4 linked regions of the Saccharomyces cerevisiae S288C genome follow. The protein of the gene in region 1 interacts with the protein of each later gene in a biochemical or structural test. Each region holds a gene or a part of one and is shown in the gene's direction. Other genes may lie near its edges.

Region 1 (5,922 bases):
TTTTGGTTTACTTGTTAACAAATTGTTATTATTATTATCCTCATTAAAATTGCTACTGTTAATGGTGTTATAGCTAGTTTTGCTATCATTGTCATAGCGCTCCCGATTATTGTCATTTTCACTGGATGGTAAAAGATCTGCCATCTCCAATAACTTTTCCCTATTTGCACTTATAGATTTAGCTTTTTCATCGGGAGATATGCTTCTTGATCTCGAGGATCTCCTGCTAGTGAAACTATTATTGGAAGTTTGAGAAGATCTTCTTCTTGATTTTTTAAGTTTCAATTTTCGACCGTTAATGATATCTTCGAAGGAGCGGTCAATATCACTGAGAGCTTCGTTGTTGTAATCATTATCATCTGGACGAAGTAGATTGTTATTGTTAGTAGCGCTATAACTTTCGTTATCCCGAACTTTTAGTTGTAACGTTCCGTCATCTTCGTTTTTAACTGGGAAGTGTCCCTCATTGAATTCCTGTATAGAAATGATGGGTGTTACCGGGGCAGCATGAGTGGAAGGAGAAGGTGTGGAAGAAGTTGGAATAGTCAATAACATCTTTTGGTTAGTACCGACTTTACTTTTATTAATGGCAATGGTACTGTTTTGAGTGTCAGCGGTATTAATAATTCCGTTATTACTGTTGTTGAAATCACTGTTGTTTGATGCTGATAAAAGGTTATTGTCTGAATATGTTAAAGATAGCAAGTCATCCAACTCATCAAGGTTTGAAATATGTTTATAACCATGTGAATTTACGGGCAGTAAATAATTTGAGTTCATAGATGCGACGCTCAAAAGATCGTCAAAATCATCGTTATTCGCGGTTAAGTGAGACATCGCAGGTGAAGAAACTAAGTCCTGTGGATACAAATAAGGCGTATGATAGTTTGATTCTGTATCGCTATAATTGGAGTCAATGCCCGAGCTCCTAGTGGTACCATCGTAATTAGATCTTGGAGATAAAAACTGGTTTGTGAGGGATGGCCGATGTTGATTATCAGCAGGTGTTAAGATATCGTCCCACTGAAATGTATCAGATTGTTCGACTTTTAAAGTTGGTGTTTGCTTCTGCTGTTGCTGTTGTTGTTGCTGTTGCTGTTGCTGTTGCTGTTGTAACTGTTGCTGTTGTAACTGTTGCTGTGGAAGATCTGGTTTGTATAGACTTTGGTAATTCAAATCTGCAGAATAAGAACCGCTTGACGGAGACAGCAAGCTGTTCACGTTAGAATCAAATGAGTCCGGGATGCCAGAGGAAAGGTTCTTTGATATTTTCTCCGATGAATTGGCGGAATCCATCCTCATATCCACATCTAAGTCCAAGTCCGATAATTGGAACGTATGTGATCCTGAATTGCTACTATTCCTGAAATTATTACGTCTGTAAGCGCTGTTATCGTCTATATCGTTTTTGTTGTTTATACTTTGCTCCTCTCCATTACTACTAGTCATGTAGGAAGCCATATTTCCGTTGCTGAATGACATCTTCCTTGTACTGTCTGACGAAACTTCCAATCGAGACTAAAAATACAACCTAGTTTTACTCGCGTTCAGAGTGTATAATCGTACTAAACTGCTGTGATGGCTATTGCCTGCTCTTTTGATTGTACTTTATCTAGCACTTCACAAGGTTTATAAACTCAATATCGGACTAATATGATAAAAAAAATTCAGGTGGGAAAAGTGAGAGGGTAGGCAAGAAGGTCGAAAGGAAAACAAAAAAACGTATCGCTGATATATAGCTCGCTCATGCAAGGCACAAATACAGGGGTAGGGTCCTCGACGTAGTAGACATTCTGCTTCTATAGATATTAATTAGTATAATGTTATTCAAGATAGCTTAGCAATTGTTAAATGCGCGGATGTACTTTTCAGCCCCCAACAGAGGGGCGAAGTTGCAACTAAGCTAAAGTGCAGTCAAAGCTGGAGCTCAACTGCTAACATAATAAGATGTGACTATAGTGCGCCTGGCAAGTTGCATGTTGCACTATATTACGACCAGTAATTTCCCTTGCCGAGCATATATGCCAATTGCCATTACGTGGGATATGGAAGAGGTGGGGTGCTTTTAGGTATTTGCTTTTTCTCTCATTTTTTGGATAGTACACTTTAAGCATGCGGTGTGTGGATGATGCCAAGAAAATTGAAAAATTTGGGCAGGCATTCGAGAAAGGGTCTTCAAAAAAATGCGAAGTAGTAGATATGAGTGCTTCCGTGCACAAATAGTCTTGTTCAATGGAGGTGTCATCAATAAATGTGTCTCAATACGGCACATCGTCATAAGGTAGCAGATGTTGCTAATAAGAAGGACGATAAATGCATTTCTGGGATGTATCCATTGCAATCTTACGGCGACGTGCATCCTGATTGCCTTCGTCATAACCATGTATGTGGTACTTGTATCTGAGCCTGCATCCGTAGACGGAACTATGGGAAATTTTCTTCCGTTTTCCAAGATGGATCTTGCGACGAAGAGGGACAGACCCTTTTATTCGAATTGTGTGAATACTCAGGACTATTTGTTGAATCCATCGTACATCAAGCAGAATGCCTCGTTTGTCATGCTAACAAGGAACGGGGAGCTAGAAGATGTTATCAAGACTATCAACAGTATAGAAGAGCATTTCAATCAGTGGTTCCACTATCCATATGTGTTCTTAAATGACCAGCCGTTTGAAGAGGACTTCAAAGCAAAAGTACGTGATGTTACAGTGGGCGCGCTGGTGGAATTTGGCACTATCGATGAGATATCTTGGAATTTTCCCAGTGACGTAAAGGATACGTTCGAGTTCTACAACGCAATTGAGGATCAAGGTGATAGAAGCATACTTTACGGAAACTTAGAATCATATCATAAGATGTGCCGGTTTTATTCAGGATTATTTTACAAGCACCCGCTAGTACAGAAGTACGAATGGTATTGGAGATTGGAACCCGATGTTGAGTTTTTCTGTGATATTACCTACGATCCCTTTTTGGAGATGCTCCGAACTAATAAGAAATATGGATTTACGATCATCATCCCCGAATTGTATTGGACAGTCCCAAATTTGTTTAGACACACTAAAAGCTTTATCAGTCAAAAAGGCGTTACGCTTGGGTCATTATGGAAACTATTTACAAAGGATTACGACATTTTTGAATCCGATGATCCGGAGTTACGGGACTGGATCAACTATGATTTTCAGGCCAAGGCTAAGATATCCGAAAAGATAGCCATCGAGCAGCTTTTGAAAAAGGGTGATGATTTCCAACAGATAAATGATGACAAAGAGGGAATAATGAATTTGATACATAAGGCTCGCTCTAGGAAGCATATCGTAGAAGACAAATTTTTCAATGAAGAGTACAATCTATGCCATTTCTGGAGTAATTTTGAGATTGCGCGGCTAAGCGTGTTCGACAATGACATTTACAACAGTTTTTTTCAATATTTGGAGAAAAGTGGTGGATTTTGGAAGGAAAGATGGGGGGACGCTCCTGTTCACTCTATTGGATTGTCGCTAACTCTGGATTTGGACGATGTACACTATTTTAGAGACATCGGATATAGACACTCCACAATACAGCATTGTCCACATAATGCCATGGGGAATGAGGAATTCTCCTACTTAGCCAGTGACTCAAAATTCAAACGTAAAAACGCGGCCTACGACGAGGGAAGGGAATTTGGGTGTGGCTGCAGGTGCAGATGTCCCAAGAAAAAGCGTGAAATTGAGGATTCCATGGGTTTCTGCGTAAATATTTGGGTAAATCTGCTTAACCAACAGAGGGGACACGAACGCCACGTCGAAGCACTCAACGGCAATGAAATGGAGGAGCACATAAGGGAAGACTATCTAAGACAGTTCGGAAACTAGTTTCTTTTATTGAGACTTATTTTTAATATATATAGTACATGAAATAATAAAAAACCGAAAAATGCATACATAAGGTTCTATTATATTCCCAATAGAATGATCGTTATTTTATTTTTTGAAAGGCATGAAAATAATTTCAAACACCGATTGTTTAACCACCGATTGTTTAACCACCGAAACCATATAAGGTTCTACCTTGTCTCTTCAAAGCATAAACAACATCCAAAGAAGTAACAGTCTTTCTCTTGGCGTGTTCAGTGTAAGTAACAGAGTCCCTGATGACGGATTCCAAGAAGGATTTCAAGACGGCTCTGACTTCTTCGTAGATCAAACCAGAAATACGCTTGACACCACCTCTTCTAGCTAATCTTCTGATAGCTGGCTTAGTGATACCTTGAATGTTATCTCTTAGAATCTTTCTGTGACGCTTGGCACCACCTTTTCCTAGACCTTTACCACCTTTACCTCTACCGGACATTATTTTATTGTATTGATTGTTGTTTTTGCTACTCTTTTGAACAAGATGTAGGAAAAAAGATAGAGAAAAGAATAAATTAAGCGAAAAAAAAAAAATCTCTTTCACCGCCTCATCCTAATATACTTATATATGATATAACTACATACGCACAAACACGTATGTATCTAGCCGAATAACAACAGCCCAGGCGCGAGTGAACAACATATTAAATTAAACGCCTTCTTGTCAGTTGTTTTGTTCTGGTCTGGTCTGCATTTCGCGCCCGAAAAAGCTTGAGACGCGAAGCTCCCAGAACGTCCTGCCATACAAATGCGAAACTCTCGGTCTAGTACCACTTTCCCGGTGCCAAACGACCACAGTTGTCCGTTCCGAGCACTTCGCATTAAGCGCGTGAAACTATTGGCACGCCCTAAGGGGCTCCTACGGATGGGAGTTGGTCATTTAGCGTTCATTATCGCCCAATGTGACGCACAATCACGGCTATGGCTCGGTGTCAAAACATAGTTTGCGTGATAACAGCGTGTTGTGCTCTCTCGCGTTGCTTCTTGTGACCGCAGTTGTATATAAATAATCTTTTTCTTGTTCTTTTATATAGGACCACTGTTTTGTGACTTCCACTTTGGCCCTTCCAACTGTTCTTCCCCTTTTACTAAAGGATCCAAGCAAACACTCCACAATGGCCAGAACTAAACAAACAGCTAGAAAATCCACTGGTGGTAAAGCCCCAAGAAAACAATTAGCCTCCAAGGCTGCCAGAAAATCCGCCCCATCTACCGGTGGTGTTAAGAAGCCTCACAGATATAAGCCAGGTACTGTTGCCTTGAGAGAAATTAGAAGATTCCAAAAATCTACTGAACTGTTGATCAGAAAGTTACCTTTCCAAAGATTGGTCAGAGAAATCGCTCAAGATTTCAAGACCGACTTGAGATTTCAATCTTCTGCTATCGGTGCTTTGCAAGAATCCGTCGAAGCATACTTAGTCTCTTTGTTTGAAGACACTAATCTGGCTGCTATTCACGCTAAGCGTGTTACTATCCAAAAGAAGGATATCAAATTGGCCAGAAGACTAAGAGGTGAAAGATCATGAATATAAAGCGGGAATTTTTTTTTTTCTATGCATTTAGACTGGGGGGACATCATACAAACATCTCCTTTTTTAATACATTATTCATCTATCTATTCGCAATGCTTTTAACGACATGAGGAGGGTATATATGCTGTAATTTATCGTTTACAGACATAATTGCGGGGCTAATTTTTAGATGCTTAGATAGTATACGTAATTTTATAACCGGCAAGAAACCATGTATAATAATTATCAATAAACATCATTTTCGAAGAGACTAGTTACGTAAAGGTAATCACTGTCTACATATTACCATTGTAGAGGCAACCAGTTGTTTTTACTAGCAATCCTCTTAATTTCGTCATCGTCATACATCTCGATGAACTGCTGATCAAGCGCCCTGGCCTTCGGAAATGCGAAACGTCTGTACTCATCAAAAATCATCGTTAGCGACCAATTTTGTAGTTTTCTTATACAACCAATCAAACACCCCGTTCTATGTTTGCCTCTATTACAATGTA
Region 2 (7,637 bases), on another chromosome or scaffold:
TCGATTTTTGGATCTTTGTTTAGCAAACGGTCTACCTCTTCTTCAGCTTCCACTGCCAAGAAACCATTACCTGTTGTTAATACTAGCACGACTGAGAATGAGTCTGGTGGCATTAAAGCAGTTGCGACTCCTGATCCACGGGTGAAGGAGATATCATCACCAATGAGAGGAGTGGCACCAACAGCTAGCAAGCCACAGACACCTATACTCCCCTCCCCTGCACTTGCAGTAAAAGACCTATCTACAGTTTCATTGAAAAGGGTCTCGTTTGCCGTCGATAAATTCGAATCCGATCCTCCCCAACAACTTCCTTCAAGAACCCCAAAAAAGGGAAACATCCTTATCCCTGATGACATGATAAGCGAGGTTCCTTCTATTTCCGTGGGTATTTCCAGTAGCAACCAATCGGCCAAGTCAACCAATTCCAACATTAAGGGACCGTTGTACACTAAGAAGTCTAAAGAATATATACTCGCCCTGGAAAATCAAAAGTTGGCTTTAAGGGAGGCTGCTAAGCATCAGCAAGAAGCTCATTTTGCTGCTAATAGAATAGCCTTTGAAGTAGCCAATTTTAAGACTGCTTCGGATGCAGGCGGTAAGCTTACTGAAAAGTCATCAGAAGGCACCATTACGAAGCAAAGAGAAGAGGTGTCACCTCCAAATGTTGAAGCTGATCGGGAGCTTGAGAATAATAAACTTGCAGAAAACCTCTCAAAAGCCGGCATTGATAAGCCCATTCATATGCATGAGCACTATTTCAAGGAACCTGATCAAGATAAGTACCAAGACGGTCATTCTATTGAAAATAACGAAGTTACGCTGGATGTTATTTACACAAGATGCTGCCATTTAAGGGAAATTTTACCCATTCCGTCTACCCTAAGACAAGTAAAGGACAAGACAGCTCCCTTGCAAATATTGAAGTTTTTGAACCCTAAGCCTACCTTGATCGATATTCTTTCCTTTTGTGATTTCATCACCATTGCTCCCATTCACACGATTGTTTTCGACAATGTAGCTTTAAACCAGGATATGTTCAGAATAATTATTTCTGCTTTGGTAAACTCCACAGTTTTGGACAAATTGAGTTTAAGAAATGTACGAATCGACCAAGATGGATGGAAATTACTATGTAAGTTCCTTTTGCTAAACAAATCACTGAACAAGCTCGACATTTCCCAAACGAAAATCAAATCTGACCTTGCTGAATCACTATATCGCCATAACATGGATTGGAACTTGTTTACTGACGTCTTGTCTCAGAGATCTCACAAACCTATAGAAGAATTGTTATTCAATGGTATTCAATTTAGCAAAATTCCTTACTCATGCTTTGCACGTTTACTGACATCCTTTGCTACCCAAAAAAACTTTCCAGAATCGGGCATCAGGCTTGGTTTAGCAGGTGCCACTACTTCCAATATCTCTCAGGATTGTCTGAAATTTATCTTCAATTGGATGTCTCAATATAACGTCCAGGGTGTGGATCTAGCGTTTAATGATCTGTCCACTATGATTAAGCCAATGGTTGGTAAACTATCTGCTCTATCATATGATAACTTAAGATATTTCATTTTGAACAGCACTAATATTTCGACTTCTTATGATTTAGCTTTGCTCTTGAAATATCTTTCTAAGTTGCCTAACTTGATTTTTTTGGATTTGAGTAATTTGTCGCAATGCTTTCCTGACATTTTACCCTACATGTACAAGTATTTACCAAGATTTCCGAACCTGAAGAGGATACATTTGGATAGCAATAATTTGACATTAAAGGAACTAGCTGTCGTTTGTAATATTTTGATTAAGTGCAAATCGCTCTCGCATGTGTCAATGACTAATCAAAACGTTGAAAACTTCTATCTAATGAACGGCACAGATTCTCCCGTTCAACAAACTAACACAGACGGCGACTTGGATAGTTCGAGCACATTGGACGTTAAGGGCCAATTTGCTAAAAATAGTTTTTCATCCACACTTTACGCATTTGCTAGAGACTCTCCAAACTTGATTGGTTTAGATTTTGACTATGATTTGATATCAGAAGAGATTCAATCAAGAATAGCACTGTGCTTGATGAGAAATATGAAACGGACCATGGATTCGACTTTCCAGTTAGATGAATTGGATTCGCAAGATGATTTGCTATTCGATGGCTCTTTAGTAACTATGACCGCTGAAAGTGTTTTAGAAAAACTGAACTTGTTAAGCGATAAGAGTACAAAGGTCAAAAAAGACACCACGAAGAGATATTTGCTGAAAAAATATATTGAAAAGTTCCATATCTTGCACCATAATGTTCAGCATACAATAGATACTATGTTCGAAAAAAGGAAATCAGGTGAATTGCCATTGCAAGAAAAAGAAAACCTTGTAAGATTACTCCTTTTGGAACAAAACTTATGCAATATACTAGAATTGTTTTCGCATAATCCGAATCTGAATGATGTCCTTGGATCCAGCAGGGATGATTCGAAGGAAAGTGTTGACTCCAGCGAAGATTCAAAATTACCAGCATTGAAGCACGTTGAATCCGGATACCATGTTCCCGAAGAAAAAATACAACCTGAGAATGATGTAATTACAGCAAGACCACATTTAATGGCCACCGATTCTGGTAAAACTATTGACGTTTTCACAGGCAAACCATTGGTGTTCAAGCATACATCATCTAGTACTTCTGTAGGTTGTAAAAAGCAGGAAGAAGAAGAAGGTGAACTACATAAATGGGGTTTCTTCGTTCAGCAGCAGAGGTCTTTATACCCTGAAAATGAATCAACAAGGCAGACACCTTTTGCATCAGGTGATACGCCTATCAACACAGAAACAGCTGGTAAGTCAACTTCATCTCCTTCAGTTTCAACTTCTAACAATGAAACTGCTACCACTAGTTTATTTAGCCCAGCTAATCCTAAGATTTTACCAAAAATTCCATCCGGTGCTGTCTTAAGATCGGCAATCATGAAGGCTAAAGGTATTGATTCTATCGATGATTTGATTCAGAACGTTAACTCCAACAACATAGAATTGGAGAACATTTATGGTGAATCCATTCAGAATAGCGCTTCGACATTTACACCAGGCGTGGATTCTGATGTATCTGCGCCCAATACCGATAAAGGATCCGTAGAAACATTGCCTGCAGTCTCAACTGACGACCCAAATTGTGAAGTCAAAGTCACTGCTACCTATGACAAACTATTAAATAATTTGTCGATGGAGAGGTCAATCAGACTTTGAAGATACATGAATCCTTCTCTTCACTGATGGATCCATTTTCTTCTTCCTTTTTTTCACTGCATAAAACTTTTTTTATCAACCTTTCATATTTTCCATATTTATTTATATATACCGCCAGTAAATTTGGCGATATTCGATAGACTTAACAGATAAACTTTTTAAGATGAATTAAAGCACAGAGGATTAAGCTTACCTCTTTAGAATCAATTGATATGTTCGGCTACATATTAGACACTGCATATAACCCAAGGCGGGTAAAATATGAACAATTTCAATTGGGCTTTGTAAATGCTTACTTTTAAATGTAAACGAAGCTCATCAGAAGAAAAAAAACAAGAGATTTGGAAAAGGCTACTTCGACCTCAATAATTTCTCAGCCTATCTTTCTAATGTCATTACCACAATGGTGTCCACCGCATTCCACCTTAAAAAGAAATCCAACTACAGGAGAGGACGTATACTGCATATGTAAAAGGCCAGACTATGGGGAGCTGATGGTGGGATGTGATGGTTGTGATGACTGGTTTCATTTCACCTGCCTTCATATTCCTGAGCAGTTTAAGGACCTGGTGTTCTCTTTTTATTGTCCTTACTGTCAAGCGGGGATTACTGGTAAGAATAAGGACGCCATAATCAATGGTGAAGGGAGCTTGCCAAAAACCTTATGGAAAAGAAAATGTAGGATAAGTGATTGCTACAAACCATGTTTACAGGATAGTAAATACTGTTCTGAGGAACATGGTAGAGAATTTGTGAATGATATTTGGTCGCGATTGAAAACAGATGAGGATAGAGCAGTCGTCAAGAAAATGGTCGAACAAACAGGACACATAGATAAATTCAAGAAATTTGGACAACTGGATTTCATTGATAACAATATAGTTGTAAAAACAGATGACGAAAAGGAAATATTCGATCAAATTGTTGTACGAGACATGACGTTAAAAACTCTTGAAGATGATCTGCAAGAGGTTCAAGAGATATCGCTACCATTATTCAAAAAAAAGCTAGAACTTTTGGAAGTATATTTGGGATGGTTAGACAACGTATATACCGAAATGCGCAAGCTGGACGATGATGCTGCAAGCCATGTGGAATGTGGTAAAGAAGATTCCAAGGGGACAAAAAGGAAGAAGAAGAAAAATAGCAGCAGGAGTAGGGCTAGGAAAAATATATGTGGCTATTGTTCTACATACGAGCGAATACCCTGCTCTGTGGAAGAATTTGTCAGAGATTTTGGAAGTAATGAGGAAGCCACCAAAATACATGAGGTATGCACGAAGTGGAAGTGTAACAGACATTTGGATTGGGTGTCTACTAATCAGGAACAATACCTCCAGCAGATTGACTCTTTAGAATCTATGCAAGAAAGGTTGCAACATCTGATACAGGCCAGGAAAAAGCAACTAAATATACAATACTATGAGGAAATTTTAAGAAGAGGTTTGTAACGGCGTTGGAGCCTAATCAAATATCAGTTTCTACATATATATATACTTCGTAGTGATGATATATCAATTGGAGCGTCCTTGCATAGGCAACGCCTATTTGGATAGTCTTCAATTTCGACCCCATTTCACGTGAATAAAGCGGAGCTATCTCTGTTTTGCAAGGGTTCGGCCGATTTTGCTGCGAAATTTTAATAAGCGCATATTGATTTTTTCAAGCAATACTTTGTATATTCATGATCGAATGAATGAAAAAGCACCACTCCTCAGCCGCATACCTTCAGTATCGTATTTATTTCCTTCTTTAATCACTTAAAATGAGCACTTTAGATATTGCAGAAGACAACAAAATAAAAAATGAAGAATTCAAAATTTGGAAAAAATCAATACCCTCATTATACCAACATATTTCAAGTTTGAAGCCTATCTTTGGCTCAGGCGTTGACGAATCTCCATCGACACTTAGGAGTATAGTTTTCACTAACGATAGCTCATGTAATAAATCCAAAGGTGTTTTGAGCGTACCACTTTTATATTCTCAAGGGAGTGAAATCTTTGAGGTGGATTGTATAGTGCCACTCGGACTTCATTACAAAAAACCTGAAAGCATTTCAGAACCGTTAGTACAACCGGATTATACCATGGAATCTCAAAAGGTGGAGCAGACTGTTTTGATTCCAAAATGGGAATTTAAAGGTGAAACGATTGCAAAGATGATTTACGTGGATAACAGCGAAATAAATGTAAAGGTGATAGCCCTTTCTACCAATGGTTCTTTGGCATGGTTCAGAGAAGGTGTCAAATCGCCCGTTTACACAATGATGGAGCCATCCACTTCTCTAAGTTCAGCATCGTCCGGAAATCAAAATAAACCCTGTGTTGATTTTGCAATTTCTAACGATTCAAAAACCTTAACAGTAACTAAGGAAAAACATCTTGATAATGAAAACGCTACAATAAAATTGATAGACAACTCAGGTAAAATAGGAGAAGTGCTTCGTACAATACCTGTTCCTGGCATAAAGAATATTCAAGAAATCAAGTTTTTGAATAATCAAATATTCGCCACTTGTTCTGATGACGGTATCATAAGGTTTTGGGGTAATGAGATAGGCAAAAAGCCCCTTTGGATTCTAAACGATTCTTTGGACGGCAAAACAACTTGTTTTGCTGCATCACCGTTTGTTGATACATTATTTATGACGGGAACTAGTGGTGGGGCTCTCAAGGTTTGGGATATACGTGCAGTTATCGCTTTAGGGGATGCTGATGCTGAGTTAAATATCAACCAAGGACATAATAAAGTCAATGAACTATTCAAAGTTCATCACTTTTATAGCGAGCAAGTGTCCAAAATAGAGTTTTCTTCCATTTCGCCTATGGAAGTGGTTACAATTGGAGGGTTAGGTAATGTTTACCACTGGAATTTCGAACCTGTTTTTGCCATTTATAACGAGATACATGAGGACTTTCAAGGCATAATATCTGACGAATTGGAGGCCGAAAGCATGGCATTTTATCACACTGAGGGCTGCAGAAGAGAAATAGGAGAAAATAATAAGGTTAATACCGTTGCTTATCACAAATACATTGAGGATCTAGTTGCTACAGTTGATAGTGACGGGTTGTTAACTGTATATAAGCCGTTTACTGGAAAAGTTTTAGATGGCAGTAGAGAGGTTGGAGCTGCCAAAAGTTAATTTTTATATTATTTAGGCTGTTTGAGTTTGGGGCGGAAATGTATGAATAAATTGTGTAATATTTAGTCTTTACTTCAGCTTTTGTTTTTCTAAAAATTTGTTTTTAATGTTTTATTGTCTGAAGTAAACATTAATTATTAGCTTGAGAATTGCTCTACATGTATATATAAACGGCAAGGATCTACTCTTTAATATAGAGAAATGTACATACCTTTGAAAACGCGTTTTCAGAGTTTAGAATGTATAAGGTAACCTTAGAACCACATCTCTTATTGCCAGACTCTCAAAGGTGAACTGATATTGAGCCTATTTTACCCTTGTTTATGTTCACTTTCTCAATGCGAAAAAAAATCAAAAAGAAATAAACTTTATCCTTAGAGTTGAAGAATTAGAAAGAGAATAAATCAAAGGGATCAGTTGGGAAAGCTCAATACTTTCCGCTTAATTTTACTGAAAACCTCATCAAACACGTAGGCACATATATATTCATATATTTATATGTTGGCTACCTTCTAATTTGCATGAAATTCGTTCGCTCAAAAAATTAGACATTTTACTAGTAGCAAGTATTACCTGATTAGCATAGCAGGCACTGTTATCATATCTACAAAATACCAATTATATACACAGGATAATGGCTTCAATGTTCAGACCACCAGAATCCAATAGGAGTCACCAAAAGACTCCAAAATTAACGCTTCCAGTAAATTTAGTTCAAAATGCGAAATCCACTAATGATGGGCAACATCTCAACCGGTCACCGTACTCGTCAGTGAACGAAAGCCCATACTCCAACAATAGCACTTCAGCTACTTCCACTACGTCATCCATGGCTTCAAATTCCACTTTGTTGTACAATAGATCATCTACTACAACTATTAAAAATAGACCGGTACCACCTCCATTACCTCCCCTAGTACTAACGCAAAAAAAAGACGGTATAGAATATAGAGTTGCCGGCGATAGTCAGCTTTCTGAAAGATTTTCTAATTTGCATGTTGATATAACTTACAAGGAACTACTATCTAGTGCTCCAATTTCCACTAAGTTATCCAACATAGATACCACTTTTATCAAGAAAGATCTCGACACACCAGAAGGCGAGGATTCATACCCCTCGACACTTCTTTCTGCGTACGACTTCAGCAGTAGCGGGAGCAACTCCGCCCCTTTAAGTGCAAATAACATAATTTCTTGTTCCAACTTAATACAAGGAAAAGACGTAGACCAGTTAGAGGAAGAAGCATGG
Region 3 (8,286 bases), on another chromosome or scaffold:
CCATTTACCAGAAGTAACGCACTCTAGTGGCATTTCGTATGAGATTGCTCCATGAATGTCAAACGGTTGCAATGCAATGACATTTTTACCAATAAAGCCAATTTCAGAATTAATGAGAACATGTTTGAAATTTAATGTCTCCTTATTATAGCTTGACGGTAATGTTTCTCTCAGGGCATCTCTCTTGAAAGGTGGTAAATATCCGTATGGAACCTCAAAACATGCATTTGTACCAGTTCCTATTATTAATGAGATGGAATCGTTTTCGCATATAAATTTGCTTGTTAGTGAAACTGCAATTGCATCGTTTATTACATGACACACGTTCATGGTACAGAAAAATTCTTCGATATTTTCTGATATAATCCGGTGAAAGGAAGATTGGATGAGCTGTTTCACCGTGGATCCTTGAAGGGTGTCAGTCATCACAAATCCTTTTCCCATTGCAACTACCTCCCCTTCTGGATTTAGAGGAAAACTGAATGTCACGGAAACAAAAAATTTAGACGCCTCAGATGACTCGTTCTTTTTTTTTATATAACCATTTGCAGCCAGCCTGGTACATATTGTATAGATGATTTGATTAAAGAAATTCGAATCAACGATGTTGTAGGTAAGTTCGAAGGCATCATTGTATTCGATAACGATTTGGGGCAGAGAGATAATTGCAAATTTCAGTCTTGTCCCGCCGAAATCAATGGTCAGAATTTTGTCTTCAGGGTTCCATCGCGATCGTTTATCTGGGACTAAACACTGCGGGAGCATAGAAATCGTATTTGTCTGAAGCCGTGATAACAACTCCTCTTGGAATTGGTCAACTACATTCACTATGGAATCAGCGGGTAAAATCAAGCTTTCTAATTCCCGAGCTAGAGTGCTTTCAATTGTCATGTTCTGAACCTCCTTTTGTTAACTTTTTCTTTACTTGCTTATATGTGAAAGTTCGAGGGGTGGACGTTTATTTTTCTTTCTGGCTTACATTCTTGTGTTTATAATGATAACCGATATACTCAGTTAACTTCCCCGGTGTTCAGTATCCCTGAATAAAATTTTTTGCTATCTGGCGCTAACAATACCTGGCAAAAAAAAAAAAAACATATAAACAAAAAAAAAAAAAAAAAAAATTAACCCAACGAAGGGAACATGACTTCTTTTAGAGAGCCGAGTGATAAGGCCAGTTGTCGTAAAAGTAAATAAATAAAATCAAAAAAAGCAAATGTGAGAAATAGCTAACATTAGCAATATCGCAGATATATTTGAGTATGGCTCATCTATCATCTGTTAGTCTTTGAATAGTTTCCTTAATTTCATTTGCGGATCTTTCCATTTCAATATTTTTGTACTCTAAATGGCGCTCTTTCTTCTTCATCCACGTTTCAGCATTGAGAATGGAGTCACCACATCTTTCCACGTCTATTTGAAAAGCGGATTCACACCAAAGACGTTGTTGCTGTTATTAAATTTGCATTATTAGTAAAAGAACGTAGTAAAATTGAGATGGCACAGGATGCCTAGTTTCGACCTATACTTACTTTTGCTAGCCTTTCCATTTTTTCATATATTTCGTCCATGTCTTTTGTATATTGCTCAATAATGTTTACAGGAACAGTACAAAACAAATCCCAATCCATCTTTTCCTGTTGTTGTTTGGACATCATCCCATCTTGACTGGAGAGGTCTTTGTACGATTCCCGGATCAAATGAGTGATTTCATTAATTTTCTTGAGTACATCATTTTCCAGGATATGGTTTTGGAAGGTTTCCTGTGGATTGTTGATTTGCCATTCGGCGGCTAATTTGAAAAGACTTGGTATATTGTTGGTCACGTCCGGACTTTTTAATGAGTTGGTTCTTTCCAAGTTATTATCCTGGTCGTTCTCAGATGATTGCCTAGGGACTTCCGTAGTATCACTCATGGTTATAGTTCCGCTTTTCTCTTCTTCGTTGCTTAATGATGTTTAGTTCTGAAATAACGATTTTTTAAGCGCTTGGCAATTTCACAAGAAAAAGGTGAAAAAAGAAAAATAAGATTAAACGATGAATGCGATTTTTTGTTTCTGTTATTATTATTATATAATTAAAAACTAGACAAATATAGTATGCATATGCATTTTGAATGATGGGTGAAAGAATTCAAAACTGTAATGCTGACGAAGGCTTGATAACCCTTTGCATACTTTCTTCACTGTCGTTGCTTGACCGGAATCTTATGTCCTGCAATTCGAATTCCTCTCTAGTAGCAAATGGTTCGTGTTTGCCGCCATTGCTTATATTTGCGGTGGGATTTCCATGGTCTAAACTGGTGTTAGCATCATTTTCACTATTTAAGTCAACATCAGATGTTTTTCTTATTGTTGCCATAGTATCACTGTTTCTCATCAGTTCAGCCTCGCCCGAAGTAGACTGTCGTTGCGGATAACGTTGACTGTAAGAAGTTTCATCGTCTAGATCTGCATCAGTAAATACACCGGCTTGGTAGCCTAAGAATTTATCATCGATTCCACCTCCATAGGACGTGCCATTATCGGAAATACACCATTCTAAGCCAGACCAAGCTAAGCATGACACAGAAATCAAACCTGCAAAACACCACAGAAGCGCAAACCATGTAACTCCAAGATGGTAAGAAAACCCGAAGGCCTCTAATTCTGTATTAATTCTAGACTGAATAGTGTAGTTAACCCAGGCAAGGCTTATGCTACTTATCAGGCCCCCAATGAAAACAACTAGCGATAGTAGAGAGTTGATATGAACAAGTGCCCTTTCTTTGAGGGCGTTCATAAACCTTCCCTTTATGTAGTAGTACCATATCATGAAAAATAACATACACACCTGGAAACTAATAACTGCATAGAGTAAATGTAACACGTTGGCCTTTTTATGTTTTAAACTCCTCATGTAGGTCGTGTATGCAGAACTTTCTGCCTGTTGTGAACCGATTTTGTTGTATGCATAATCTAAAATGATATCTAAACCCAAGCTTTCTAAAACCTCACGATAATCAAAAAGATAGTCCGTTCCTATGCTACTGCAGGTACTCTTAGTAGTCGAATTCTTTACGCTATGCATATTTCCTTCAGAGTCGAATACTTCCACCATGGTATATGTTGAATCGCACCTCCCATAAAGCGACACTGTGATGTACTGAGGAACATTCTTTATCTGACTTTCGGTGTAAGCAGTCAATATATACAGTTCGGATGTTGTTAAGCCTACACCGTTATTTTCTTCTGTAGATGTCGACTGCTCCATAGACTCTCTCAACACGGTAAATAAACCCGTCGTAATATCAGCAGAGTAAGTATCCAGTCGTGACATGTACAATGTTCTTGGCGAAGAAAGGGGTCCGACAGTCAACGCCAACCCGAAAGAGATTATGAGTAATGTCGTCCCTAATCTTAGCCACTGTACCACTTTCTCAAGGGCTGTAAGGTTCTGGAATGGCCTGGCTATTGTATCTCGTATTCTTGACATCACCATTTATTTTCGATCCATTAGATATGCAAGGGTATTCGCAATGACTGATACACAAAGAAATGGTGTAAATGAAACTAAGTAGAGAGTTGACAGTGTTAAGCAAACAACGAATCCAGGGGAACAAAGTATTCGGGACGTTTGTTTATGCGGCGTCCAAAAGATGTATTTAAAGTTAACCATATTATGTATCAATCTAAATAAAGAAATAATTGTAAATTTTCATCGCATCAGTAATATGACCGCGAAAACGCTATTCTTTCCAAAAAAGTTAAAATGAACATAGTATGAAAAAGAAAAACACATAAGCAGCCCTTTCATCACCTTCCTTACAGGGGTTTAAGAAAGTTGTTTTGTTCTAACAATTGGATTAGCTAAAATGGCTAAAACATTGAAAGATTTGGACGGTTGGCAAGTTATCATTACAGATGATCAGGGGAGGGTTATTGACGACAACAATAGAAGAAGATCAAGAAAAAGAGGAGGAGAAAACGTATTTCTGAAAAGAATTTCTGATGGATTGAGTTTTGGGAAGGGTGAGAGCGTGATATTTAATGATAATGTGACGGAAACATATTCTGTCTACTTGATCCATGAGATCAGACTCAATACACTTAATAATGTTGTGGAGATTTGGGTTTTTTCTTACTTGAGATGGTTTGAACTCAAACCAAAACTGTACTACGAACAATTCAGGCCAGATCTAATAAAGGAAGATCATCCTTTAGAATTTTACAAAGATAAATTTTTCAACGAAGTAAATAAGAGCGAGTTATATTTAACTGCTGAGCTATCAGAGATTTGGCTTAAGGATTTCATTGCAGTTGGACAGATACTGCCAGAGTCACAATGGAATGATAGTAGTATCGATAAAATAGAGGATAGAGATTTTCTAGTACGTTATGCATGCGAACCTACTGCGGAAAAGTTTGTACCAATTGATATTTTTCAAATCATAAGAAGAGTAAAGGAAATGGAACCCAAACAATCTGATGAATACTTGAAAAGAGTATCTGTACCAGTGAGTGGGCAGAAGACAAATAGACAGGTGATGCATAAGATGGGAGTTGAAAGATCTTCAAAAAGACTAGCAAAGAAACCTTCAATGAAAAAAATTAAAATCGAGCCCTCTGCAGATGATGACGTAAATAATGGAAATATACCGTCTCAGCGAGGAACGTCAACAACTCATGGTTCAATTTCTCCCCAAGAAGAGTCTGTTTCCCCTAACATCTCATCGGCGTCCCCTTCTGCGCTCACATCACCTACAGATTCTTCGAAAATTTTACAAAAAAGATCTATATCAAAGGAACTAATTGTTTCAGAGGAAATACCAATAAACTCTTCAGAACAGGAATCCGATTATGAGCCAAACAATGAAACATCTGTGCTTTCAAGTAAACCTGGGTCAAAGCCAGAGAAGACATCTACAGAACTCGTTGACGGCCGAGAGAATTTTGTATATGCAAATAATCCAGAAGTGAGTGATGATGGTGGGCTTGAAGAGGAAACAGATGAAGTTAGTTCAGAAAGTTCTGATGAAGCAATAATACCAGTAAATAAAAGACGTGGCGCTCACGGAAGCGAATTGAGCAGTAAAATTAGAAAAATCCACATTCAAGAAACACAAGAATTTTCTAAAAATTACACTACAGAAACAGATAACGAAATGAACGGAAATGGAAAACCTGGAATTCCCAGGGGCAACACCAAAATTCATAGTATGAACGAAAATCCTACACCAGAAAAAGGTAATGCAAAGATGATTGATTTCGCTACTTTGTCAAAGTTGAAAAAAAAATATCAGATAATTTTAGACCGGTTTGCACCAGATAATCAAGTAACAGATTCCTCCCAATTGAACAAATTAACAGACGAACAGTCAAGCTTGGACGTTGCAGGCCTTGAGGATAAGTTTAGAAAAGCATGCTCTTCATCTGGAAGAGAAACCATTCTGTCAAATTTTAACGCTGATATAAATTTAGAGGAATCAATTAGAGAATCTTTACAAAAGAGAGAACTACTAAAATCACAAGTGGAGGATTTTACAAGAATATTCCTTCCGATTTACGACAGTTTGATGTCTTCCCAAAATAAACTATTTTATATTACCAATGCAGATGATTCTACTAAATTCCAGCTTGTGAATGATGTAATGGATGAGTTGATCACCTCTTCGGCCCGAAAGGAACTACCTATTTTCGATTACATTCATATTGATGCCTTGGAACTGGCAGGAATGGATGCATTATATGAGAAAATATGGTTCGCCATTTCTAAAGAAAATCTATGCGGTGATATATCACTAGAGGCCTTAAACTTCTATATTACAAATGTCCCGAAAGCAAAAAAGAGAAAGACACTAATATTAATACAAAATCCGGAAAATCTATTGAGTGAGAAGATTTTACAATATTTCGAGAAATGGATTTCTTCGAAAAATTCAAAATTGTCTATCATTTGCGTTGGCGGACATAATGTGACGATTAGAGAGCAAATAAATATAATGCCCTCCCTCAAAGCACACTTTACCGAAATCAAACTTAATAAGGTGGACAAGAATGAATTGCAACAAATGATCATCACGCGACTCAAATCTTTATTGAAACCTTTTCATGTCAAAGTAAATGATAAGAAGGAAATGACTATTTACAATAATATTCGCGAAGGACAGAACCAGAAAATACCAGATAATGTGATAGTAATCAATCATAAGATCAACAACAAAATCACTCAACTTATTGCAAAGAACGTAGCCAACGTAAGTGGTAGTACTGAAAAAGCATTCAAAATATGTGAAGCTGCCGTAGAAATTTCTAAAAAAGACTTCGTACGGAAAGGTGGTCTACAAAAGGGTAAATTGGTAGTGTCACAGGAGATGGTACCACGCTATTTCTCAGAAGCTATTAACGGATTCAAGGATGAAACTATTTCAAAGAAGATTATAGGAATGTCTCTGTTGATGAGAACATTTTTATATACCCTGGCGCAAGAAACCGAAGGCACGAATCGTCATACGCTTGCTCTGGAGACCGTCCTGATTAAGATGGTGAAGATGTTGCGGGACAACCCAGGGTACAAGGCGTCAAAAGAAATTAAGAAGGTCATATGCGGTGCCTGGGAGCCCGCAATAACTATAGAGAAACTAAAGCAATTTTCTTGGATAAGTGTAGTGAATGATTTAGTGGGAGAAAAATTAGTTGTTGTGGTGCTCGAGGAGCCCAGTGCAAGCATTATGGTAGAACTAAAACTTCCTTTAGAAATAAATTACGCCTTTTCGATGGATGAAGAATTCAAAAATATGGACTGCATTTGACCACCAACATTCATTTTCACTTCCGCCATAGATATGCCTATGTACACATGCAGTCTCTTCTGTATTCCTTAATAATGTAACCATAACTGTTTACTTACTAAAACCTAATCAAACTTCAGGACAGTTTTCTGTTGTGGACCCAGACCCACGGAAACGTTGAAACCCAAACATTAATATATTTTATTTTTTTTTTTTTTTCGGTTAATGAAAAACTAACTTTTTATTGTGCACTACGGATGCCTCGCGTCACCATCCGCTGGAAATTCCAGGACTCTCTCACCTGCGCGATAATATACCCAAAATGACTAGATGTCACAACTATTCTATTAAGAAAGGAAGGTGTTCACGTTGTGAACTTTAATATTAAGGAAACAAAACAAGCACACGAATAACCAATCGTTTAATCATGGCTGTCGGAAAGAATAAGAGACTATCCAAGGGTAAGAAAGGTCAAAAGAAGAGAGTCGTTGACCCATTTACCAGAAAGGAATGGTTCGACATTAAAGCTCCATCCACTTTTGAAAACAGAAATGTTGGTAAGACTTTAGTTAACAAGTCCACTGGTTTGAAGAGTGCTTCAGATGCTTTGAAAGGTAGAGTTGTCGAAGTTTGCTTGGCTGACTTACAGGGTTCTGAAGACCACTCTTTCAGAAAAATCAAATTAAGAGTTGACGAAGTCCAAGGTAAGAATTTATTGACCAACTTCCACGGTATGGACTTCACTACTGATAAATTGAGATCCATGGTTAGAAAGTGGCAAACTTTGATCGAAGCTAACGTTACTGTTAAGACTTCTGATGATTACGTTTTGAGAATCTTTGCTATCGCCTTCACCAGAAAGCAAGCTAACCAAGTTAAGAGACACTCTTACGCTCAATCTTCCCATATCAGAGCTATCAGAAAGGTTATTTCCGAAATCTTGACTAAGGAAGTTCAAGGATCTACCTTGGCCCAATTGACCTCCAAGTTGATTCCAGAAGTTATCAACAAGGAAATTGAAAACGCCACCAAGGACATTTTCCCACTACAAAACATCCATGTTAGAAAGGTTAAGTTGTTGAAACAACCAAAGTTCGATGTCGGTGCTTTGATGGCTTTGCACGGTGAAGGTTCTGGTGAAGAAAAGGGTAAGAAGGTTACCGGTTTCAAGGACGAAGTCTTGGAAACTGTGTAAAGGAACCAATAATAAAATAGAAAGGAAAGGAACAGGAAAAAGGAGTGATGCATATCTTATTTTTTAAATCTTTCTTTTTCGATTTTAATTTTTTTAGTCTCTTTAATAACTCTCTATTCTATGATGTCATTAACCTCGTCAAAAAGATAATTCTATAACTATACTACTGTATACAATATTTGTATAATTTTAAATCATTTTTAAGAACATATATAGCAACATGAACGATCTTCCTTTCGTTTCAAATAGGTATTTCTGCTCTGTGTGACCTGTTGAAATTTTTGTTACTCTTTCGTAAATATACTGTAATTTATTGAAATTG
Region 4 (6,847 bases), on another chromosome or scaffold:
CTTGCTGAGACGTGCATCTGCCAACGAGTCACTGGGCAACTTCACTGATGCTATGTTTGATCTATCTGTTTTGTCATTGAATGGTGACTTTGATGGAGCCTCCATTGAACCTATGCTGGAAAGAAATTTAAATAAGCAAGCAATGAAAGTACTAAATGAAAACCTATCGAAGGATGAAGGCAGAGGCTCGCAGGTTTTGCCGTCTAACACATCTCTGGCGTCATTTTTTGGGATTTTTGACTCTCACTTAGAAGTTTCTAGTGTGAACACCAGTTCAAACTACGATACTGCATACGCTCTATTGTCAGATGCTTTGCAAAGACTATATTCTGCAACAGATGAAGGTTACTTAGTAGCAAACGATCTTTTAACAAAGTCCACTGACATGTACCACTCTCTACTTTCTGCAAATACAGTGGACGATCCTTTAAGAGAGAATGCTGCCTTGGCATTGTGCTACACGGGTATTTTCCATTTCTTAAAAAATAACCTGTTAGATGCCCAAGTTCTTTTACAAGAATCTATAAACCTGCATCCAACACCAAATTCGTACATATTTTTGGCATTGACCTTGGCCGATAAAGAAAACTCTCAAGAATTTTTCAAATTTTTCCAAAAAGCTGTTGATCTAAACCCTGAGTATCCGCCAACCTATTACCACCGTGGGCAGATGTATTTTATTCTACAAGATTATAAAAATGCCAAGGAAGATTTCCAAAAGGCCCAAAGCTTGAACCCTGAAAATGTTTATCCCTACATTCAATTAGCCTGTTTGTTGTACAAGCAAGGTAAATTTACCGAATCTGAAGCTTTTTTCAATGAAACAAAGTTGAAGTTTCCTACCTTACCTGAGGTGCCCACCTTTTTCGCTGAAATCTTGACAGATAGGGGCGATTTTGATACTGCAATTAAACAATATGATATTGCTAAAAGGTTGGAAGAAGTGCAAGAAAAAATACATGTGGGTATAGGACCCTTGATTGGGAAAGCAACTATATTAGCTAGACAATCCTCTCAAGATCCAACCCAGTTGGATGAAGAGAAATTCAACGCAGCCATTAAGCTGCTGACAAAAGCCTGTGAATTAGATCCACGATCTGAACAAGCGAAGATCGGGTTAGCACAACTAAAATTACAAATGGAAAAAATTGACGAGGCCATAGAATTGTTTGAAGATTCTGCAATTTTAGCAAGAACTATGGATGAAAAACTTCAAGCTACTACCTTCGCGGAAGCTGCAAAGATACAAAAGCGTTTGAGGGCTGATCCAATCATAAGTGCAAAGATGGAGCTAACATTAGCTCGTTATAGGGCTAAAGGCATGCTTTAGAAGATATGTCAGGTATTGGTCAAATATATACTTTTAGTTAATACTGGATATGTTATAAAGGTTCTGTTAATGCCAAATCCATTTCAATTCTTTTCTTCCAAATATTGTACTGGTCGTCTGTGACCAAAATATTGGTGGTTTGTAACATCGATCCCAGTTTCCTAAATATAATTTCATCGTATCTGATGCCATCAAAATCATCATACCTAATTTGCAAATCTCTGAACCATTTTTCACCGATAATTAATTCCTTCACTAATTTTACACATTCAATAACATCATCCACTTTTGACGTCAACATCAAGCTGCACATCTTACTGACTATAAAATGGTCAATTCTTGGATCCTTGCGTCTTCTTTCATTAAATACAATGAATGTACAATTTAATACTAACCCACACACTAATTGCCATGGGCAAACCAATCTTGACGCGTTTATGTTGTACTCATCCACAATTTTATATGCTACTTCTCTTGGTAATTCAAAATCGTTGCAAAGCCGTATTATTTCTTCAGTAGTCATTTTGCAATACTTCTTTACTAACAAAGAATTTGGTATTCTGCCCCTTTTCCTCAGGGCTTTTGCCGTCTTCAATTCTGATTGCGGTTTTCCAACTGCCTTATTTTGTTTCGTTCTCCCGCTTCTGCTTTCTTGCACACCTAATGGCTCTTCCTCACTTGTAGGGTCACTTTCATGGTTTTCATACTCATCAGAATCTACATTTCTGGTTCCAGTAATGCTCTTATTACTATGGCTTTTTAAAGACAAACCGTCGTTTCCTGGTTCCTCTTCATCCTCATCCTCATCCTCTTCAAATGCTAACTTTCTCCTAGTAATAGACGGCGATTCATTGGTTTGCATGGGGGGTAGTTCTGGTATTACGAACGAATCATTATTTTGGCTTTTCCTAACTTTAGTTGGTGTACCAAACAGTTGATTCCTCAACTCTTTCGGATCAGAAGAAGTAAACCTCCCACCGTTCTTTACTGGACTGCGTTTGTTCTTTTTGGGGCTCGGTGTCCAAGCAAATTGTTTCATAGGTGAAGAATTAGATAAACTTTGTCTGAAAAGGTTCATTAAATGCTTGGCTTTTTTCGGCTCCAAGGGAATACTGTCTATATAATAGCAAAGGTCAGGCATGTGTTTTTCATTCATTTTCTGTGACGCTATGTATGCACATATGTGACATCTAGCAACCTCTTCATCTTGTTTCAGCATTACCTTGTTCAGTGAAGTATTATATAAAATCGATGTCGCATTAGTCAACTTCTTCAAATATCCGCTCGACCAGTCCGGTTTTTCTTGTGGATCTAGTCGAAGTACTTCTGCGACACAATGTTGGACTTGTTGCATGGACATGACTGGTTTTAATGGTATTGTTTTGGCCAATTTTATTTACTGATATTGTACACTTTTTTCTGCAATTTTAGTGTGAGATTTTTTTTTTCAATGCCGATTTCTTACTAACGTAAACAACGGCAAAGAACAAAGAAATACACAGTTTTATCACAAAGAGTTGATTTTTGCTGAAGAGAAGCGTGAGGAGTGTATTCGAAAGCCTTGCATATTCTGGACACTTGCGATTCTAGCTCTTTACGGACGCCCGCATTCTTTTTTCATACTCTGTTTCGTGCTGCTTTCACACAATATTTTTCAAAAGTTTCTTCTCATCGTTTTTCTGTTAGCAACCCTCAACTTACGAGAGAGTTGCGACTAGCATAGGTAACATTCCTTATTTGTTGAATCTTTATAAGAGGTCTCTGCGTTTAGAGAATGTCAAATTACTATAGAAGAGCACACGCGTCTTCTGGTTCATACAGACAACCCCAGGAACAGCCTCAATATTCGCGTTCTGGTCACTATCAGTATTCAAACGGCCATTCTCACCAACAATATTCTAGTCAATATAATCAACGTCGACGTTATAACCATAATGATGGTACAAGGCGACGCTATAATGACGATCGCCCACATAGTTCAAACAATGCAAGTACGCGACAGTACTATGCTACTAACAACAGCCAAAGCGGCCCATATGTAAATAAGAAATCTGACATCAGTAGTCGGAGGGGCATGTCTCAATCACGGTATTCAAATAGCAATGTTCACAATACATTAGCGTCTTCGAGTGGATCTCTTCCCACAGAATCTGCTCTGCTTTTGCAACAAAGACCACCTTCAGTTTTGAGATACAACACAGATAATTTGAAGTCTAAGTTTCATTATTTTGATCCCATAAAAGGCGAGTTCTTCAATAAGGATAAGATGCTTTCGTGGAAGGCTACAGATAAAGAATTTTCTGAAACAGGTTATTACGTAGTCAAAGAGTTACAAGATGGACAGTTTAAGTTCAAAATAAAACACAGACATCCGGAGATAAAAGCATCCGACCCACGTAATGAAAACGGTATCATGACTAGCGGAAAAGTGGCAACCCACAGAAAATGCAGGAACTCACTAATTCTATTGCCTCGCATATCTTATGACAGGTACTCCTTAGGGCCTCCCCCTTCATGTGAAATAGTTGTCTATCCAGCGCAAGATTCAACAACAACCAATATCCAAGACATATCAATAAAAAACTATTTTAAAAAGTATGGAGAAATTTCTCATTTTGAAGCATTTAATGATCCTAATAGCGCTTTACCTTTGCATGTTTATCTTATAAAGTATGCCAGTTCTGATGGAAAAATTAATGATGCAGCAAAAGCAGCCTTTAGTGCCGTTAGAAAGCACGAATCTTCGGGTTGCTTTATCATGGGCTTCAAGTTCGAAGTGATTTTAAACAAGCATTCCATTTTGAATAATATCATTTCTAAATTTGTTGAAATAAATGTCAAAAAGCTACAGAAGTTACAAGAGAACCTGAAGAAGGCTAAAGAGAAAGAAGCAGAAAACGAAAAAGCAAAGGAATTACAGGGCAAAGATATTACCTTGCCCAAGGAACCTAAGGTAGACACATTATCTCATTCGTCCGGAAGTGAAAAAAGAATTCCATATGATCTCTTGGGGGTAGTTAATAACAGACCTGTTTTACATGTCTCCAAAATATTTGTTGCCAAACATAGGTTCTGCGTTGAGGACTTTAAATACAAGTTAAGGGGATACAGATGTGCGAAATTTATTGATCATCCAACTGGTATCTATATTATTTTTAATGACATTGCCCATGCGCAAACATGTTCGAATGCAGAGTCAGGAAATTTAACAATAATGTCTCGGAGCAGAAGAATTCCTATTCTAATAAAGTTTCATCTCATTCTCCCTAGGTTCCAAAACAGAACTAGATTCAATAAATCTAGCTCATCTTCAAATTCTACAAATGTACCTATAAAATACGAGTCCAAAGAGGAGTTCATTGAAGCTACAGCAAAACAAATATTAAAAGATTTGGAAAAGACTTTACATGTTGATATTAAGAAGAGATTGATTGGTCCTACGGTATTTGATGCTTTGGACCATGCAAATTTTCCTGAATTGTTAGCTAAAAGAGAACTAAAGGAGAAAGAGAAGAGACAACAGATTGCATCTAAAATTGCTGAAGATGAATTGAAACGTAAAGAAGAAGCCAAAAGAGATTTTGATTTGTTTGGTTTATATGGTGGCTATGCAAAATCTAATAAAAGAAATTTAAAAAGGCATAATTCACTCGCGTTGGATCATACTTCTTTAAAGAGGAAAAAGCTATCCAATGGTATCAAACCAATGGCACATTTACTGAACGAAGAAACCGATTCCAAAGAAACTACCCCATTGAACGATGAAGGGATCACTCGCGTATCAAAAGAACATGATGAAGAAGACGAAAATATGACATCTTCATCTTCTGAAGAAGAGGAAGAAGAAGCTCCAGATAAGAAATTCAAGAGTGAGTCTGAGCCAACCACCCCCGAATCTGATCACCTTCATGGTATTAAGCCGTTAGTACCCGATCAAAATGGGTCGTCTGACGTACTGGATGCTTCTTCGATGTATAAACCTACTGCTACCGAAATTCCCGAACCTGTATATCCACCTGAGGAATATGACTTGAAATATAGTCAGACTTTATCTTCTATGGATTTGCAGAATGCTATCAAAGATGAGGAAGATATGCTAATTTTAAAGCAGTTATTGAGCACATATACTCCTACCGTCACACCAGAAACAAGCGCAGCTCTGGAATATAAAATTTGGCAATCTCGCCGAAAAGTTCTTGAAGAAGAGAAGGCTTCCGATTGGCAAATAGAGCTTAATGGAACTTTATTTGATAGTGAACTACAACCAGGTAGCTCTTTTAAAGCTGAAGGGTTCAGGAAAATTGCGGATAAATTAAAAATTAATTACCTACCCCATCGTCGCAGAGTTCACCAACCTTTAAATACGGTGAATATTCACAATGAAAGGAATGAGTACACACCTGAACTTTGTCAAAGAGAAGAATCCTCGAATAAAGAACCTTCAGACTCAGTTCCTCAAGAAGTTTCATCCTCTAGAGATAATAGGGCATCAAATAGAAGATTTCAGCAGGACATAGAGGCACAGAAAGCCGCAATTGGTACGGAATCTGAGCTGCTATCACTAAATCAATTAAATAAAAGAAAAAAGCCAGTTATGTTCGCTCGTTCAGCAATTCACAACTGGGGTTTATATGCTCTAGACTCTATCGCAGCAAAGGAAATGATTATCGAGTACGTTGGTGAAAGGATCAGGCAACCTGTAGCAGAAATGAGAGAGAAAAGATATCTGAAAAATGGGATTGGATCCAGTTACCTTTTTAGGGTTGATGAAAACACGGTTATTGATGCCACCAAGAAAGGTGGTATAGCCCGTTTCATTAATCATTGTTGTGATCCAAATTGTACGGCAAAGATTATAAAGGTTGGCGGGAGAAGGAGAATTGTTATCTATGCACTGCGTGATATCGCGGCAAGCGAAGAGTTGACATATGATTACAAATTTGAGAGAGAAAAGGATGACGAGGAAAGACTTCCTTGTTTATGTGGAGCACCTAATTGTAAAGGTTTCTTGAACTGACGATGATACATTGATTTGTTTGGAGCTTCCTGATTTAACATATCGTTGCTTTCCAGCAAAAGGTAAAGATAAATACTAAACTGTATACATCTATAAGTAATCTCGGCCATTATTTTAACGATTAGTACTTTTGTTCGTGTCATTTTTTTGGAAAATTTTGCGATCTCTCACTGTTGAAGAATAAAGATTTCGCGATGACTTTTGCTTGCAGAGAAATGCCTGAAAACACGAACATTCAATAATATAGATGGTACATAACATATGCGCAAGAAAACGTAAAGGCCACGGATGAAGCATTTCTTTAGGCTACCGACAGCATTCCGGCCCATTTCTAGGGTTTCCTTACGATATTCTAGTACTGATACCGCTCAACCAAAAATATCAAAACTCAAAATTAGTTTTAATAAAATTTCTGAATCAAATAGCGAAAAAAAAGATAATTTGGGTTCAATTGACACACGAAATTGTCTTTCGACTCAGCAAGATGACAAACTATCAAG

The links.
Region 2: the proteins of HHT2 (region 1) and SPP1 form a complex in vitro, tested with the Saccharomyces cerevisiae proteins (3 studies listed by BioGRID, with this or other methods).
Region 3: the proteins of HHT2 (region 1) and SIR3 form a complex in vitro, tested with the Saccharomyces cerevisiae proteins (6 studies listed by BioGRID, with this or other methods).
Region 4: of the proteins of HHT2 (region 1) and SET1, one has a biochemical effect on the other in vitro, tested with the Saccharomyces cerevisiae proteins (4 studies listed by BioGRID).

Annotation. Positions count from the first base shown.
Region 1 is NC_001146.8:575,140-581,061, reverse strand, and holds HHT2 (histone H3), read left to right. Parts: upstream 1-5,011; coding exon 5,012-5,422; downstream 5,423-5,922. Other genes in the region: DNA-binding transcription factor CRZ1, read right to left, coding at 1-1,482; KTR5 (putative mannosyltransferase), read left to right, coding at 2,289-3,857; HHF2 (histone H4), read right to left, coding at 4,024-4,335; putative tyrosine protein phosphatase SIW14, read right to left, coding at 5,711-5,922. UniProt on the Saccharomyces cerevisiae protein: Core component of nucleosome. Nucleosomes wrap and compact DNA into chromatin, limiting DNA accessibility to the cellular machineries which require DNA as a template.
Region 2 is NC_001148.4:288,420-296,056, reverse strand, and holds SPP1 (Spp1p), read left to right. Parts: upstream 1-3,629; coding exon 3,630-4,691; downstream 4,692-7,637. Other genes in the region: protein phosphatase regulator GIP3, read left to right, coding at 1-3,240; UME1 (Ume1p), read left to right, coding at 5,006-6,388; putative mitogen-activated protein kinase kinase MKK2, read left to right, coding at 7,023-7,637. UniProt on the Saccharomyces cerevisiae protein: Component of the Set1C/COMPASS complex that specifically mono-, di- and trimethylates histone H3 to form H3K4me1/2/3, which subsequently plays a role in telomere length maintenance and transcription elongation regulation.
Region 3 is NC_001144.5:1,017,819-1,026,104, reverse strand, and holds SIR3 (chromatin-silencing protein SIR3), read left to right. Parts: upstream 1-3,853; coding exon 3,854-6,790; downstream 6,791-8,286. Other genes in the region: NGK1 (hexokinase), read right to left, coding at 1-891; GMC2 (Gmc2p), read right to left, coding at 1,268-1,450, 1,533-1,916; ECM7 (Ecm7p), read right to left, coding at 2,134-3,480; 40S ribosomal protein eS1 RPS1A, read left to right, coding at 7,197-7,964.
Region 4 is NC_001140.6:342,939-349,785, forward strand, and holds SET1 (histone methyltransferase SET1), read left to right. Parts: upstream 1-3,104; coding exon 3,105-6,347; downstream 6,348-6,847. Other genes in the region: protein channel TOM71, read left to right, coding at 1-1,330; ORC6 (origin recognition complex subunit 6), read right to left, coding at 1,383-2,690; mismatch repair ATPase MSH1, read left to right, coding at 6,636-6,847. UniProt on the Saccharomyces cerevisiae protein: Catalytic component of the COMPASS (Set1C) complex that specifically mono-, di- and trimethylates histone H3 to form H3K4me1/2/3.